2 linked regions of the Tamandua tetradactyla genome follow. The protein of the gene in region 2 interacts with the protein of the main gene of each other region in a biochemical or structural test. Links are inferred from orthologs where the notes say so. Each region holds a gene or a part of one and is shown on either strand. Other genes may lie near its edges. The genes, in order: BCL3 and NFKB2.

Evidence for each region.
Region 1: the proteins of NFKB2 (region 2) and BCL3 form a complex in vitro, tested with the Homo sapiens proteins (2 studies listed by BioGRID). The link is inferred for Tamandua tetradactyla from reciprocal best matches to the Homo sapiens genes NFKB2 and BCL3.

What each region holds. Positions count from the first base shown.
Region 1 is NC_135342.1:18,276,262-18,283,847, forward strand, and holds the start of BCL3 (B-cell lymphoma 3 protein), read right to left. Parts: upstream 3,122-7,586; 5' UTR 3,018-3,121; coding exon 2,762-3,017; intron 1,261-2,761; coding exon 1,107-1,260; intron 1-1,106. UniProt on the Homo sapiens protein: Contributes to the regulation of transcriptional activation of NF-kappa-B target genes. In the cytoplasm, inhibits the nuclear translocation of the NF-kappa-B p50 subunit.
Region 2 is NC_135339.1:64,284,099-64,291,550, forward strand, and holds the start of NFKB2 (nuclear factor NF-kappa-B p100 subunit), read left to right. Parts: upstream 1-4,387; 5' UTR 4,388-4,567; intron 4,568-4,980; exon of another isoform or gene 4,981-5,220; 5' UTR 5,221-5,448; intron 5,449-6,517; 5' UTR 6,518-6,748; coding exon 6,749-6,769; intron 6,770-7,137; coding exon 7,138-7,219; intron 7,220-7,343; coding exon 7,344-7,384; intron 7,385-7,452. UniProt on the Homo sapiens protein: NF-kappa-B is a pleiotropic transcription factor present in almost all cell types and is the endpoint of a series of signal transduction events that are initiated by a vast array of stimuli related to many biological processes such as inflammation, immunity, differentiation, cell growth, tumorigenesis and apoptosis.

The sequences.
Region 1 (7,586 bases), on a different chromosome or scaffold from region 2:
GGCCACAAACACCTCACCCCTAGGGACAGATACAAAATGAAGCCCATTTCACTGATGACTCCCAGAAGTCCCCAGAGGGGGAGGAAACTCGATTTTGTTGAGTCCTTTATATATCTCAAGTACTTTCTCCCACTTGGGCTCAAGGGGATAGCCCACAAACACCCATTGCCATGTATTGAGCATTTACTGTGTACTGCCCTATCGTCTGCACTAATGCACCAAATCCTAATTGTGATTTGCACTGTTATGAAGACCGATTTCCAGATGGGGAACTGAGGCTCACCCCCTCCAGAAATGGGTCTGCTCACTCCTACCTGAGTCTCCAAACCGACTTCTGCACCCTCACACACTTTGGTCCCTGTTTGACAGAGGGGCGAATCTGAGGCATGGACCAATGAGAAAGTGGCCCGCTGAGATTCAAACATAAGTTGGCAGAATACTAAGAACTGCAACGATCAAGTGTACTGAGTGCTTACTATGTGCTAGGCCCAGAGCTCAACCCCCTCTTGCAGGCTTTCATGGCAGCCTCAGAAAATGTTCCTCTAATTGTAGGTGATAAAGTATGGGGTTGGGAAATCAATCTGGGGAGCCTTCAGATTAGTTCAGTGGGTTGCAACAGTGAAATAATAGAAAAATATCAAAGTAGACCCCATCATCAGATATTGTTTGTTTCGTGCAGTTTTTCTTTCAAGTGTGTGTACACATCTTGTGCATATGTTTGTGTGCTGGATTTGATATAAAGTAATACTAATAAACACTTATCAACCAGCTACACTATGTTAGCAGCTTTACATGTATAACTTATATCATCAATCACTCAGTGCAATGCATTTCCCACTTTGGGGCTGTGATAAAACATTTGAAGCCCACTGCTCCTTAGTCCTGGGGGGATGCGCTCTCAGGTTGCCCATTTCTGAGGAGGAAACTGAGGCTCGGAGAGGGGCAAGTCCTTGCTCAGGATCACACAACCAGCAGTGGAGAGAGGATTACAGCTCGGGTCAACGTAACTTGAAAGCCCAAGCTGAGTGCCCCTGTATGTGGTGGGTGAGGTGGGTGGAAGGCTGTCCTCCCCACTCCCCTGTCCAATAGTGGGAGAGGTCACTCACGTGTCTCCGTCCTCATCTGCGTGGGTGGCCATGGCGATGTCAGCCGACAGGGGATGTTCCATTGAACACACCATGGGGTACAGGGGGGCAGGCAGGCTCAGCAGAGGAAAAGGGGAGCCCATGGTTGGGGTGGGGTACAGAGGCAGTAAAGGTCCTGAGCAGTGGAGAACAGAGAAAGGACACTGGTGAAGCCAGGCCTGGAGACCCTTAACCTATTGCCCACCTCTTGGCCTTCAATCCTGCAGAACTGCCTACCCTTCCTTGCAGGTCCCTTTGTATCAAGATAACCCCTGCCACGTCCTCCTCTGGCCTCCCACAGCCCATTTCCCCTTGCCCCCATCTGGTCACCCTCATTGTCACTTATCTTTCCATGTGCCTGACCCCCATCACCCGCCAAGGGAGCCCCCATCATCACCCATGGGGGGACCCCAGGATTTGTTTGATGAGTGAATTTGTGGCTGAGGGAGATGAGAAATAGATGGAGAGCTGGGCATAGTGAATGTGCAGAGGGTTTGAGGAGAGGGAAGGGTTGAAATGGGAGCAGGGGGTACAAGAAGCCGATTCAAATCCAGCTATTGGAAGAGACTGTGGCAGCAGTCACATCCATACCAGTGGGGAAAACTAAGGCCTGGGTACTCATCCAAGGGATGGGAAAAGTCAGTGTGGTGGTGGCAAGGCCTCCTGACTCACGGCTTGAGGCTCTCCCTCTGCTGCACTTGGAGGGGCTTGGAAGGTGCAGAAAGTGGATCAAGTTTTGGGGTTACTAAGCGTGGGCCCATTGCAGCTTCTGGGGCCATCTGGGGAGAGTGAGGTGAACACAGCTGTGGTCCAAGGGCTGCCCCTTTCATGAGATCAAGGATGGAAACGGGATGGGGAGAATGGTGGGTAACTTTCTCCAACATCCCCTGATCCTTGGTGGGGGGGGGAGGCTCATTCCTGGACTCCCCAAGTTCCAGGTCCCTGTGTCTCCAGTACCAGACCTTGGGGCCCTGGGATCTTCTGCCCAAAGTCCACTGACTCTCTCATCCTGGCCCTAAATCCTGAAATCCCAGAATTCTCTAGCCCTGCCACTCCATTCCTAGAATTCTCAGTCTGCAGACCTCCTAAGGCCACCTGCCCTTGTGACCCCTGATTGGCATCTCAGCTGAGTTTTTGTTCTCTTGACTCCTTGGGGCCCCCAGTTATTGGGTTCCTGGAACTCTTCCTTGGATCCCTGTGATCCCAGATATTGGGATGCTCAGAACTCCAAGCTCTATTGTCGTAATTCCCCATGTCCCCTGATTTTGACATCCTGGGACCCCTTCATAGCTGTCTCTTTAGTACCCCATTTGTGGTTCCCCTGACTGCCTCTGACCCCTACGTGGAACCCAGGAACCCCAGTTTCTTGGGTCCAGGCCCTGACTCCTCATAACCCTAAATTTCTGGGTCATGGAGATTTGTAATTCTGAGGCACCTATATCTGTGGCCTGGGACTTCAGGCTATGCCCTCAGCTCCCTGGGACCCCTGTATGTGTCCCTAGGACTCTGGGTCCTGTCCCCCTGTCTCCAGCTTCCTGGGACACCACATAACTGCGCCCAGGGTTCTGCCCCCTAGCTCTGGTGACCCTGTACCTTGTGCGGTTCCCACCCAGTCCTGACCCGCGGGGGCCACTCACCCTGGTAGTAAAGCGCCTCCGGCCGGGCCAGGCCGTGGGGGACCCCGGAAACGGCAGACGCGTCGGCGCCACCACACAGGGGCTCGGAGGGGAGGACAGGGCCTGCAGAGGCGCGGGGGGCGGCGGGTTCCGGGGAGGACGCGCGCAGCGGGCGCTTGCGGAGCGGCAGCGCGGCGCCGGGGGGTCCCGCGGCCTTGGGCCGGGTGCGCAGGTCCACGGGCCCCTCGTCCATGGCCCCCGCGGGGCATCGGGGCATGGGGCCGCCGGGGACGGCGGCCGAGCGGGCGGCCGGAGCGCTGCTCCGCTCAGTGGCACGGGAGGGTGGTTGCGCCGGGCGCCGGGACTTCCCCTGCCTCCCGCTGAACTGAAGGGACTTTTGTCGGCCGGGGCGGTGCCGGCCGGCCGCCTCCCCGCCCTCGACCGCCCCCCGCCCCCCCCTCCCGGGGCCACCCGTCCGCCCCAGGGGTTTCCTGGACCCGCCGCCGCTCCCGTCGCCGCGCAGTGCAGCCCGCCGCGCTCCGCCCTGGCCGCGCCCCGCGCCCGCCCCTCCCGGCGCCCCGGGCGGCTCACCCGGGTTGGGAGGCGGGGGCGGGGGTCCCCGCCCCTGCGGCAGCGGGCTTCGCTCAGCCTCGAGGCTCTTGTCCCTCGGGCTCTGTGTCTCCCTCTCTCGGTATCTCTCTGTAGCTGTGTCTCTCCTTGACGGAGATCTCTCCGGTCTGAACACGCATCACCCCGATTTCTCTGTCGCTCTACGTCTCACCGTCTCTACCTCTGTTGTCTGTTTGCATTTCTCACTCTCTCTCTGTCTCTTAGTTGCACTCTTCTCTGCCTATCCCCCCCCCCCGCCGGGAGGTAATTCTGGGAGAGCCTGGAGTCGCTGGACCTGGGTTCGAATCCCGCCGTTCACTTCCTCACTGTGTGAACTTGACTGGGCACTTCCCCTCTCTGGGCCGTTTCCTTCTCTGTGGGAGTGAGAAAACGCGCCCAGGGCCGGGGCTGGGGGTCGGCGGGCGCCCAGGAACTGTCCCTCCGCCTCCCCTGCCACCGTCTCTGCCTCTTCTCTATGCCTCTTTGACCAGGCCCGGGGTGCCCAGAGGGACAATGAATGTGATTCCTCCCCTCAGGCCCGGGGTGCCCAGAGGGACAATGAATGTGATTCCTCCCCTCCGGGTCACTGGGTGCTCGGAGAACGGTGGGTGTACTAAGAGAGGGACACGGAGATGGAGGCGCAGAGCTCTGGAGAGACAAAGGAAAGGGACACGGGAGAGAGAGATAGCAAGAGACCAAGAGACACATCAGCAGTGCGGGGACAGAACGACCAAGGCCAGGCTCCGGGGTGGGGGGGTGGCAGTCTGACCTCCTTCTTCTCCTCCACTTTCCCCTCCCCTCGGGGAGGGGTCGAAGCGTAGGGAACAGGCCCGGTGGGTTGGTGTTGGCGGCATGACTCAGACAGGCGGGAGCAGGCGAGGGGGAGGGGCAGGGGCGGGCCCCGTCCGCGTGGTCGCTCCTCCCCCTTCTCCCGCCCAGGGGGCGGGGCTCCTGCGGCCCGGGGCTTTCCCGGATTTCCCTGGGGGCGGGGCCGCCGCTGGGGTTGAGTCCGGGTCACTGAGTCACGGGAGGCGGAAGAAGGGCTATGCAAACCTGGGGGAGCCGGACAAGGGGTTCCGCACCCCAGAGCTGTCCGGACGGCACCCGGCGGGGTAGGGGTCTCCCTGCTTTGCTCCCTGAGACCCTGTCTGTCTGGACAACTCTGTCCTCTGTCCGTCTTCCCTTCTCCCTTTTCTCTCACTGTCCCTGATCAGGCTCAGCTTCTCTTTGTCCCTTTCTCCCGAACCCATGACATTGTCCTTTTGGCTCTCCATCTCTGCCTGATCGTTCTGTCTCCTGGCAGCGTCTCTCTGGGACCCGGAAGCGGGTGTGGGGCCCCGTCCACCAGGAAGAGACTTTGGCCTGGACGCGGGCCCCACCCCAGTGGATCATTAACCGGGATTGGGAGGAGCAGCTGGGGGCAGAGAGAGTCCCGGCGCCCTGGGCCTCTCTGTTATCCCCCCTTTGAAGCCCTGCAGTAGAGTGAAACATCTAGGGTCACAGACCTGGGTCCAAATCTCACTCCCACCCCTTGCTCACCTAGGGACCTTCAGCAAGCTATCCCCTCTCTCCTGGAAATGAGCCTCTTGAGCCCTGCCTCCCAGTATCCTATCGTGGGAGCTACAACGAAGGAAAGAGGAAGGAAGTGGGTTGGGAAGGGCTGGGCGTCCCGGCCCACCCAGCACTCACCTCTTAGAACCTTAAGCACAGGGGAGGGGCAGTGTGTGGAAGCTGAGGTTCAAACGGTTGGTGCTCAACAAGCTGGTGACCCTAAGACCCCCAATTCCTCCCACTCCCCATCACCTTGTGGCAGGTGGTGCAAAGGGCCTGGGGCTAGACAGAACTGGGGGGAGGGGGGCATGCACACCTGGCCCAGAGAGGCACTTTGAAGGGCTGGGAGAAAGGGTACTGATGGCTCAGAGTTTGAGGATGGAGGAGAGGATGAGGGATAAAAGGGTCTGAGGACAGAGGATCTGAAGGAGGAAGACAAGTCTGAGAACTTGATTGTCTGAGGGAGAGGGGAGAGAGCCTGATGGAGGGATTGGTGGAGAAGATGAGGGCCTGGGGGTCAGGGAAGAGGGACTGAGGGAGGAGGTCAGAATCTGAGGGAGGGGGCCAGGATCTGAGGAAGAAGGATCAGTCTGAGGAGAAGGACGAAGTAAGGAGGTCAGAAGTGCGAGAGAGTTGGGAGGAAAAGAGGGGTCTGAAAGAGAAGGAGACTTGGAGAGGGTCTGAGGGGGAAGGGCTTGATCTGAGGGGGGAGCAGCAGACTGAGGAGGGTCTCCTTGTGGCAGAGGGGGAAAGAGGCATGCCTGAGGAGCCAGCAGGGACTAGAGGGAGGGAAGGGAAGGCAGGCTGGGAGTCGGCCCCGCCCTGCTGCTCTCTGACTTCCCAGAATCTTCTGCTACTCAGGAAAGTCCCAGCTCCTGCACCACCTCCCTCCAGTGTCGGGAACGGAGGATGCGGAACCAGGATGGCTGTCCCCTCCTTTCCCCCCTCTCTCCTTGCACCCCAGGCAGGGAGGGCTGGGGTCTTCCCTCTCTGGGCCTTGAGCTCTGCAGCCCTCTCCTGCCTCCTGCCCACTGCTGGCGGGGGCAGCCCCTGGATGAGTCTGCAGAACTTCCTGAAGAAGGCCTGGAAGTCCTGCTTGGAGTCTGACCATTTTCCCTCATGCAGTTTGTTTCTCCTCCCAGCTGCCTCATCTTCCCTCACCCACATTCAACTCTCCCTGTGGGAGGAAGACCAGGAGTTTGCCCATTTGAGGTCCCAGTGGTAAAGGAAGTGCAAACTGAAACGCTGTGGGCATGGGGGCATCTCTCCTGCTCTTTGGGCCTTGGTTTCCTCTCCAAAGGAGAGGAAAAGGGCAGGGCGGCTCAGGCCCTTAATACCCATCGGCTCCATTCAGGGGCCTTCTGCTACTTTGCTTCAAACTGAGGCCTGGGTGCAAGTCCTGTGTCCTGCCCTGACTGGCTTTATGACTTCCAGGCAGTTACCTGCATGGAGCTTCAGCTTTCTTATCTATAAAACAGACCAAATAGAGAAAATTTGCTTCCCTCTATGGGGCCTGATGTGTAGAAAGTGCTCAGTGCAACGAAGCTACTACTTTTATCATTATTGTCAGTTAACCTAGGCTGCCAGCAGCAGGACCCACTTCACTAGGGTGATTAGGATTCAGTGTGCTGGGCTTAGAGACCTGAGGGTGCCATGTGCTAGCTATGTGACCTTGGGCTGGTGGCTTTCTCTCTCTGCCTTTGTTTTGCTTTCAATAGTTGGGGATGACAACAGCGCCTGCCTCAAAGCGCTGCTGAACAGACTGTGTGAGACCAGGTTTGTGCGATGGGAGAATGAATGAATGCCCCCCCCATCTGCCTTAACCTCACCCTGTGCATCAGGCTGGGGTCTTCTTGTCACCTTTATTTGTCCAGAGATGAGACAAGACCTGACCCAGTCAGCTCCCACTAGAAACTGGCCCACTTAATCCTCTCAACACCTCAGAAAATTCACCTAAAACCCCCATTTTATTGAGGTGGACACTGAGGCATAGGGAAGTGAAGTCCCTTCCTAGGGTCGAATGGTGAGGAACTGGGGGAGTTTTTTAATACAGGGCTCTGGACCCCAGGACTCTGGTTCAAACCTACTGAACTGGCAGGGGTGGTGATTAGTTCCAGAAACCATTAATTCTAGCCTCCTACTCCCTGGAGAGGAATGGTTTAGATGGAGAAACTGAGGCATGGGGCAGCAACCATGTGCCCAAGGGCATCTATGGGTTTTAGCCCAGTCCACACTCTTTCTGCTGCGTTTCTTCAACCCCAGGGAGGATCGAATGGGTAGAGAGGGGTCTCATTGCAGCAGGAGGGAATAAAGTTAGACTTCAGGTTAACTGATAGAGAAACCATCACCAGAACCTCCAGGGAGGTTCAGAGACAGCAAGTGAATTCCACAGATAGAGGCAAACAGAGGCTCTGGGCCTGGATGGGGAGGGACGTGCCTGAAGTCATACGGCCTCCCTTTTGGGATCAGGGCTGAAAAGTCCACCCCCAGTCTGCCTGCCACTCTGCTGCCCAAAGCTGCCTCTCCCTTCTCCCCAGGGGTAAATGCAGGCCAGCTTCCTGGAGCAGGGTCTGCCACCTCCTGGTTCCTCCCTGCCCTGGGGTCTTGGCAGCTGCTGGATTCCCTGGCACCAAATTGGGAGCAGCCCATCTGGGGCCTGGGCCAAGACTTAATCTTCCCCTTTCTG
Region 2 (7,452 bases):
TACAACTTCTGTCATAGACAGTTAGAGGCACTCACCCTCTTCAAAGAGCCCCCCTGGCTGTATGATCATGTATCACCTTGGGCTTCCCCTTACTTAGCACTTCCATATGAATGTTGCTGGGAGGTTGGACCTCTGTAAGCACATCCCTCAGGTATGGAACGGGGCATCTCCGAAATGGGAACAGCCCAATGTGAAAAAGACAGAGATCAGAAGCTTTTAGCTTAGTTTCTCTCTCTTCCCTTCAAGTCACCCAGACCATGCCCAGTTTCCACACTAACCATAGGCCTTGCACAACCCTAACACTGGAGCAAGGAACAGAGATAGAGGTTCTGTGTGTGTTGCAGAAAAACTTGTATCTACAGTCAGGTGGACACTAGGGCTCTTGACCTCAGCTATGGTATCCCAGTTCTCCCATTTAATCCTCACAAGCTCTGCTTTAGAAGCTTCCATGTGTTTGGGGAAAATAGTGTCGGTTGCTACAAAGAGATGTGCGGTCCAGCATACAAACAAAGGAATATGACAGTCTGTCCTTCAGTTGGAAAAGAAGCTGGAGAGATTGCAAACTGATCCTCTCTCCACTGCATAAAAAAGAAAAACATTTGCCAGAAGGCTTATTCTGCTATAAAAAGAGCAGCTGACACACACATGCATGACCTCTGTTGTTGACAGTGTTGTCTCTTAGAAAGCAGAGGAAGCTATAAGAGGAACTAATACTTGGGCCTTATTTCTGACCATCAAGGAAGAATGATTTAGTGATGTGGAAGTGACCAAAAAAAACTTTGGGGGAAAGTGATAGTGTAAACCAGAGGGAAATGCTGATCTTAATCTTATCTCCTACCAGAATTCTAGGAAAGCAGAGTCCAAAAAATCCAGAGGAAAGCTAGAGATGGTTCCATGACCTAAGACCATAACATAGAGAACTGACATTTTTAGAGTACCTATCATGTATGTAATTACAAAGGGAATTGGTGAAACAACCTTTAGAGGTATTTACTCCTCTTCCAGATGAAGAAACAGGTTCAGAGAGGTCAAGGCATTGGGAAATGAAGAAGTTGGGACTCAAACCCAGGTCTATCTTACTCCAAACCTCATGGTATTTTCCAGTGACACTTCTTTAATTCAAAAGTATTGGTGTTGGTGCAAAAATCCTCCTAAGCTAAATATATTTTCTGTAGTTTCCAATAGGAAATAAAAGGTTGAGGCTCTGAATCAGCCATTGGCTGTACAGGCTATTTAACCTAGTGAGTTCAGAGTTTAGTAGAAGTGTATTAAAACTGGAAAGATATGCCAAGAATAAATACGAATTCTCTGAGCCCATAAAAATGGTATCAGGAAAAATTAACTACAGAATGAGCTACCATTGGCATAGTTCCACCCCCCACCCCCTGCCGCACACACAACCCACAATAGCAGGAAAAAATTTAAATGTGGTTATTAGAGCCTGTGGATGGTTATATTTGTTCAGGTTTCACTGCTTGGGAGACAAGTGGCCATGAGACAGGAAAACCACTCAGCCCCTGGCCTCCAGTTGGAGAGAAAGAGTTTTAGTTCAAGAAAACAACTCATCACTTCTCCTCCTTGAAACTGGCTTCTGAAACTTTTTCTTGGTTCTTTTCTATCTCACTGGGCATGCCCTTTCAATTTCTTTTGTGGGCTCCTCGTCTCTACAGCCTCTAAAATTAAGATAGCCAGGGCTCAGCTCTTAAATCTTTTCTCTATACTCCCTGTGTGATCTTGTCTACTGGCAAGACTTTAAAGACCATCCATTATACTATTGTTATACCTAGCTCTAACTTTGTATCTCTATCCTGACCCTCCTCTCAAATCCAGACTCCTACATCCACCTGCCTCTTGACATCTCCACTCACATGCCTCAGAGCCATCTTAATATTACAAACTTAAAAAGAAAAATTCTTATACATGGTGGTGAAGATAGCACAACATTGTTGTTCTAGTTTGCTAGCTGCTGGAATGCAATATACCAGAAACAGAATGGCTTTTAAAAAGGGGAATTTAATAAGTTGCTAGTTTACAGTTATATGGCCAAGAAAGTGTCCCAGTTAAAACAAATCTATAGAAGTGTCCAATCTAAGACATCCAGGGAAAGATACCTTGCTTCAAGAAGGCCAATGGAGTTCAGGGTTTCTCTCAAGTGAGAAGGTGCATGGCAGACACAGTCAGGGCTTCTCTCTCAGTTGAAGGGCACATGGCAAACACAGCGTCATCTACTAGCTTCCTCTCCTGGCTTCTGGTTTCATGAAGCTCCCTGGGAGGCGTTTTCCTTCTTCATCTCCAAAGGTCGCTGGCTCGTGGACTCTGCTTCATGGTGCTGCAGCATTCTCTGCTCTCTCTCTGAATCTCTCTCGTTCTCCAAAATGTTCCCTCTTAATAGGACTCTAGAAAAACTAATCAAGACCCACCCAAATGGGTGGAGACACATTTCCCCCAATCCAGTTTAACAACTACTCTTGATTGTGTTACATCTCCAGGGAGATGATCTAATTACAGATTCAAACATACAGTATTGAATAGGGATTATTCTGCCTTTACGAAACGGGATTTAGATTAAAACATGGCTTTTGTATGGGATCATACATCCTTTCAAATCAGCACAATTATGATTATAATTAACTCTACTGAATAGAATACTAGAAAGTGATTAAAATGGGAAATGTTATATTGTATATGTTACCACAATGAAAGTTTAAATAAATAAAAATTTTAAAAAGGAAAAAGCTGTGTCTTACCATGCCTCCAGAATAGTGTCCACACCTCTGAGTGAAGAAAAAAGAAAAAATTTTTACAGCCCTTTACAAATCTGTTCCTCCTTGGTCTAGCTCATATCGGTAAAGGACAACACCATTCTTCCAGGTTCTTACGTCAAAAACCTCCCCTTTTCTCACATCCTACACCCAGCCCCTCACCAAATCTTGTTGCTTCTCTCTTTCAAATCTATCCAGAGTCTGATCACTTCTCTCTATCCTCACCGATTACCACCCAAGTCCAGGCTGCTATCTGTAGTCTACTGGTCCCCCCCCTCTACATACTCCACTCTCCTGTCTGCACAGCAGCCAAACCGATCCTTTTAAACAAGCCATATCATTTTCACTGCACTGCTTAAAATCCTCTAACAGCTTTCCATCTCATTCAGAATAAAATCCAAATTCTTACTTCGTTCCACCTAACTACCCTTGCTGTTCTTCAAATATGCAAATCATATTCACAACAGACCTTTGCATTTGCTATTCCCTCCACCTGGAATGCTCTGCCTCCAGATATCCATTGTCCACTCCCTCATTTTTTTTCAAATCCTTGTTCAAATGTTACCAAAGAAGCCTTGTCGGACTGCTATATAGAAAACCTTTGTCACTCTCTATTCCCTTACCTGCTTTATTTTTGTTTATAGCAATTATCACCAACAGACGTAAATCTATTTGATACTTGCCTGATTCGTCCCACTAGAATGTAAGCTTCCTGCAAGCAAAATATGCCCTCACTGTTTGTTGGTGAATAAATAGAGTGGATTTATGGTGCATATGTTCTCAGCAGGTGTTGCGCTAGGGCTGGGTGCAGAAACAGATGATCAGATTGCAAATTAGTGAAATAAACATAATGAGATTTCTTAAACCCAGATTGATGAAGCCACAGCAACAGACAATAAATAAACTACTTTGAGTTAAAACTCTCCAGCCCCACATAAATTGAGAATTGTTGAAGATAATTAAGGATACATAAATATCATTATACTATATTCTCTACTTTTTAAATGCTTAAAATTTCCCATAATAAAGTTGTAGTGTTTTTTTTTTTAATCTCCAAATAAATTACAGCTCGGTATCTTGTAACTAAAACAGGTCAACCCCTTGGGGTGCTTTTGGAGACATTGTGAACCCTGAAAGAATACATACCAATTTCAGCAGGTGCTTTTTGAGCACGTTGAAAGAACAGTTGTGGTCAATGGCAACGAGCACAGGCTCACTCAGTTGGCATATACCAAACTAACCACATATTTAAGAATCTGATTTATCAAGGGAACTTGGTTGACAATAAATGTGGATTCCAGCAAAGTATTTGACACTATATTTGCTTGAATGACCCACAATAGGTGGAAAGGCCTACTTTGTTTTATATGAATTTAGGGGAAAGAGCTTCTGCCTGATATCTGAGCCTTAATTTCTTTTCCAGTAAAGGTAAGATTAACCTCCTGGGGTTGTTGAGAAGAATAAGAACTTATACTAAAGTACCTGACATTTATGGACAAGGTGAGAAGGAGGGGGAAGTCACAGGAAAATAAGTTTCCAAATCAAGGGCCATAATAGTCACTCGGTGCTAGTGCAGTCCTGCAGTTCCAGGAAGGTCAGGGGCAACTGTAGGAGAGACCTGAAACAGCCTGTGTTCTATCACCGGCCTAGGGAAGATGACTCCATGATCAGAGATTACTTCTCTGTGTGCTTCCCAAAGAGAAACTCCACCAACCAGAGAAGTCCAGCTACGGGGTCAGTGTTTTGTGAAATACTGTACTGACCTCACCGCCAGTAGAAGGATTCAAGAGGAAGCTGGGAAGTAGGTAAGAGTCGATCTCCTACATAAGAGGACTTTTGAACTATTTAAGACTTTCAACGCCTTTTCAATTCCAACATTTAAGATCTCTGTGATGACTGGAAGAGGCCCGAAATCCCCCAGAAAAACACCCCATTCCACTTCCCCCGCATAGAACTCCCGGCCCACTGTGAACCTGGCACTAATAGAATACGTTTTAGAGCCGGCAGGTCTCTTCCAGAGGCTTTGAGTCAGGCCGGAGACTGAATAAGAGACTAACAGTCTTTACGGCTTCAGGTGCCCAGGGAGGCCGCCAGATGGCGCCGTGGGACCGACCGCAAGATCGACTTCCTTCCTCTTCCCCTAACTTTTCCCGGCAGCCGGGCTCGGCTCTGGGAGGGGGAAGCCAGCTGAGACCGGCTGGCTTCCCCCTGGGGTTCCCCGGCTTCAGACGTGGCCAAGCATTCGGCGCAGCATAAGTATGAAGGCAGTGGGTCTCCCAGCCGTCCCGAGCAGGCTCATGCGGCCCCCAGAGGACAAGGGCCCGGCTTTCGTCCCGGGCAGGGCCTGGTGCTCGGTCAGCAAGTCTTACCTCGGGGTAACCCGGAAGCTAGACATCTGGGCGGGCAACGGCCATCCAGACCCCCAGCTCCCTGCCCTGAGTGAATCTTTCCCCGCTAGGAGACGCTCCTGAGTCGCTCCTGATTGGCTACTTGAGTCCGGGCGTTAAACTTCTGGCCAATGAAAAAGGGCATGGGGAATGACGCGCAGAAACGTCATGGGAATTCCCCCCTCCGGGGGGCGGAAAAGGTACTTTCCCGGCTGGAGCCCTAGTGGCTAGAGAGGTGTCGCGACCCGTCCAAGGCTGGTCGGACGGGGAGAAAAGACCGAACCCGAGCCGCCTCGGCGGTGAGTGGGGTCCGGACTCTTGGGTGGCCGGGACGCGGGAGAGGCGGAGGAGGGCTTTCATTGAACCAGCCCCTGGACTGGAGAGCTGCATATGCACACACGCAGAGCATGCACACACACACGAAACAGACGGGTTGTATGTATGTACATTCTTGAGCATCGTTGTATGTACGCGGCACGCGCACAGCATATTCCGTGCACTCGGACTCGCACAACATACACTCGCAACGTGCTCATTCGGGCACCGGTGGACCACATCCTTCCCGCACAAACTCCAAGCTATGATCACCTGTACCCTTACATATCAGACATGCTCGGACATATACATATTGAGAAGTTTACGAACATGCACCTATATACGGACATGCTCACTTCCACATGCATGTTGACGCTATGCACACACAGTATGCACCCAAGCACATGGGCCAAAACAAACCTGTGTACCTGTGGAGACACACATGTCTGTGGGACTGGGGTGGGAAGCGTGCAGGGTCTGTCCCTCTCCTGGGAGCCTGTGTGGTGTGGGAATCAATGGGGAGAAGAAAAGAGGAACCTGCCCCAAGGAGGAGACACCTCCCCCCACCCGCCCCACGTCGCAGTCCCCAGAGTCCCTTTCTCGTGGCAGAACCCTGGGGCCCCCCACTGGAAAGAGCCCCCGCCTACAGGCCATTCGGAGAGGAGGCCTCCCTACTCTAGGAATGTCCCCTCAAAAGCCCCCGAGGTGAATCAGCCCTGGCTTCCCTCTCGGCAGAAAATCCCAAGCTTGCTCCAGGCCCGGCCACGGACTGGGAGCCTCCCCCGCCGTGAAAGACCCTCCTGTCCCCGGAGCCTGCCCTGAAGGGTGGAGGGGAGGCCCCAACCCCCTTGGGGGCTTCCCTGGTTTTTATCCCCTCTCTGTCGCGGAGGCGGCCGGGGCCCGCTGGCTGGCTGAGGTCTCGCACCCCTCCCGCAGCTGGGGCGGGGCCAGTAGCGTCATTTCCAGGCCCGCCCCCTCCGGCCCCGCCCCCCCCCTGGTATTTTCGGGACTTTCCTAAGCTGTTCTAACTTTCCTGCCCCTGACCCGGCCCAGCCCAGCTCCGGATCTCGCCGTCCACCGGATTTCGTCCGCCACACCCGGACAGGCGGCTGGAGGAGATCGGACCCTCCCCCATATTTGGTGCTCCGCTCTCCTGCCACCCCCCGGCCTGATCCGTCCCCCCTACCCCACCCCACCCCCACCCCCCGCAAGGCGGGCACCTGAAACTCTGGGAAACGGAACCCGGCTGGAGCCACCAGCCAGAGCCGGGCTTAGCCCAAAGACATGGACGGTTGCTACGACCCAGTGAGTTACGCCACCTGGCCCCAGAGCCAGCCGGCTGTCCCCTTCTCCGTCTGCTTGTCTTCCTATCAGGGGCCCCTCTGCTGCCTTACACCTGTCTACCCCTCCTGTTAGCTCAGCCTGCCAGACATCTGTCTGCTGCCTCCTGCATCTATCTTACATCAGATCTCAAAAGTGTCTACTCTAATGCCCCTCCACACCGTCCTTTGCCTGCCTGTCAATCACTCTGTCTGCAAACTGCTTCCAAAGGAGCTTTCTCTTGGGCCTGGGGAGGAGAGAGAGGGGTTACTGAGGGCTTAGAGCTGAGCCAGGTGGAGGGCTCTGGTGGTGACTCAGAATCGGCTGCCACCCCCAATATGTCTCCTAACCAGGGCCTGGATGGCATCATTGAGTATGATGATTTCAAATTCAACCCCTCCATTGTGGAACCCAAGGAACCAGCCCCAGAGACGGGTCAGTAACATCCCCCCCCCCAACTTCCCCTTGTGTTAGAGGGAGGGGGTGAGAAGAGGCATGTGCCCTCTGCCTGGAAAATGGGCTTGGGGATCCTGGGTCAGCAAGGTCCCTTTGTCCCCAGCTGATGGCCCCTACCTGGTGATTGTGGAGCAGCCTAAGCAGGTGAGTGAGCAGAAGAGATGGTGTGGGACTTCAGCTTTGGGGCATGTTGGGTAGTTGTCACTGGATGG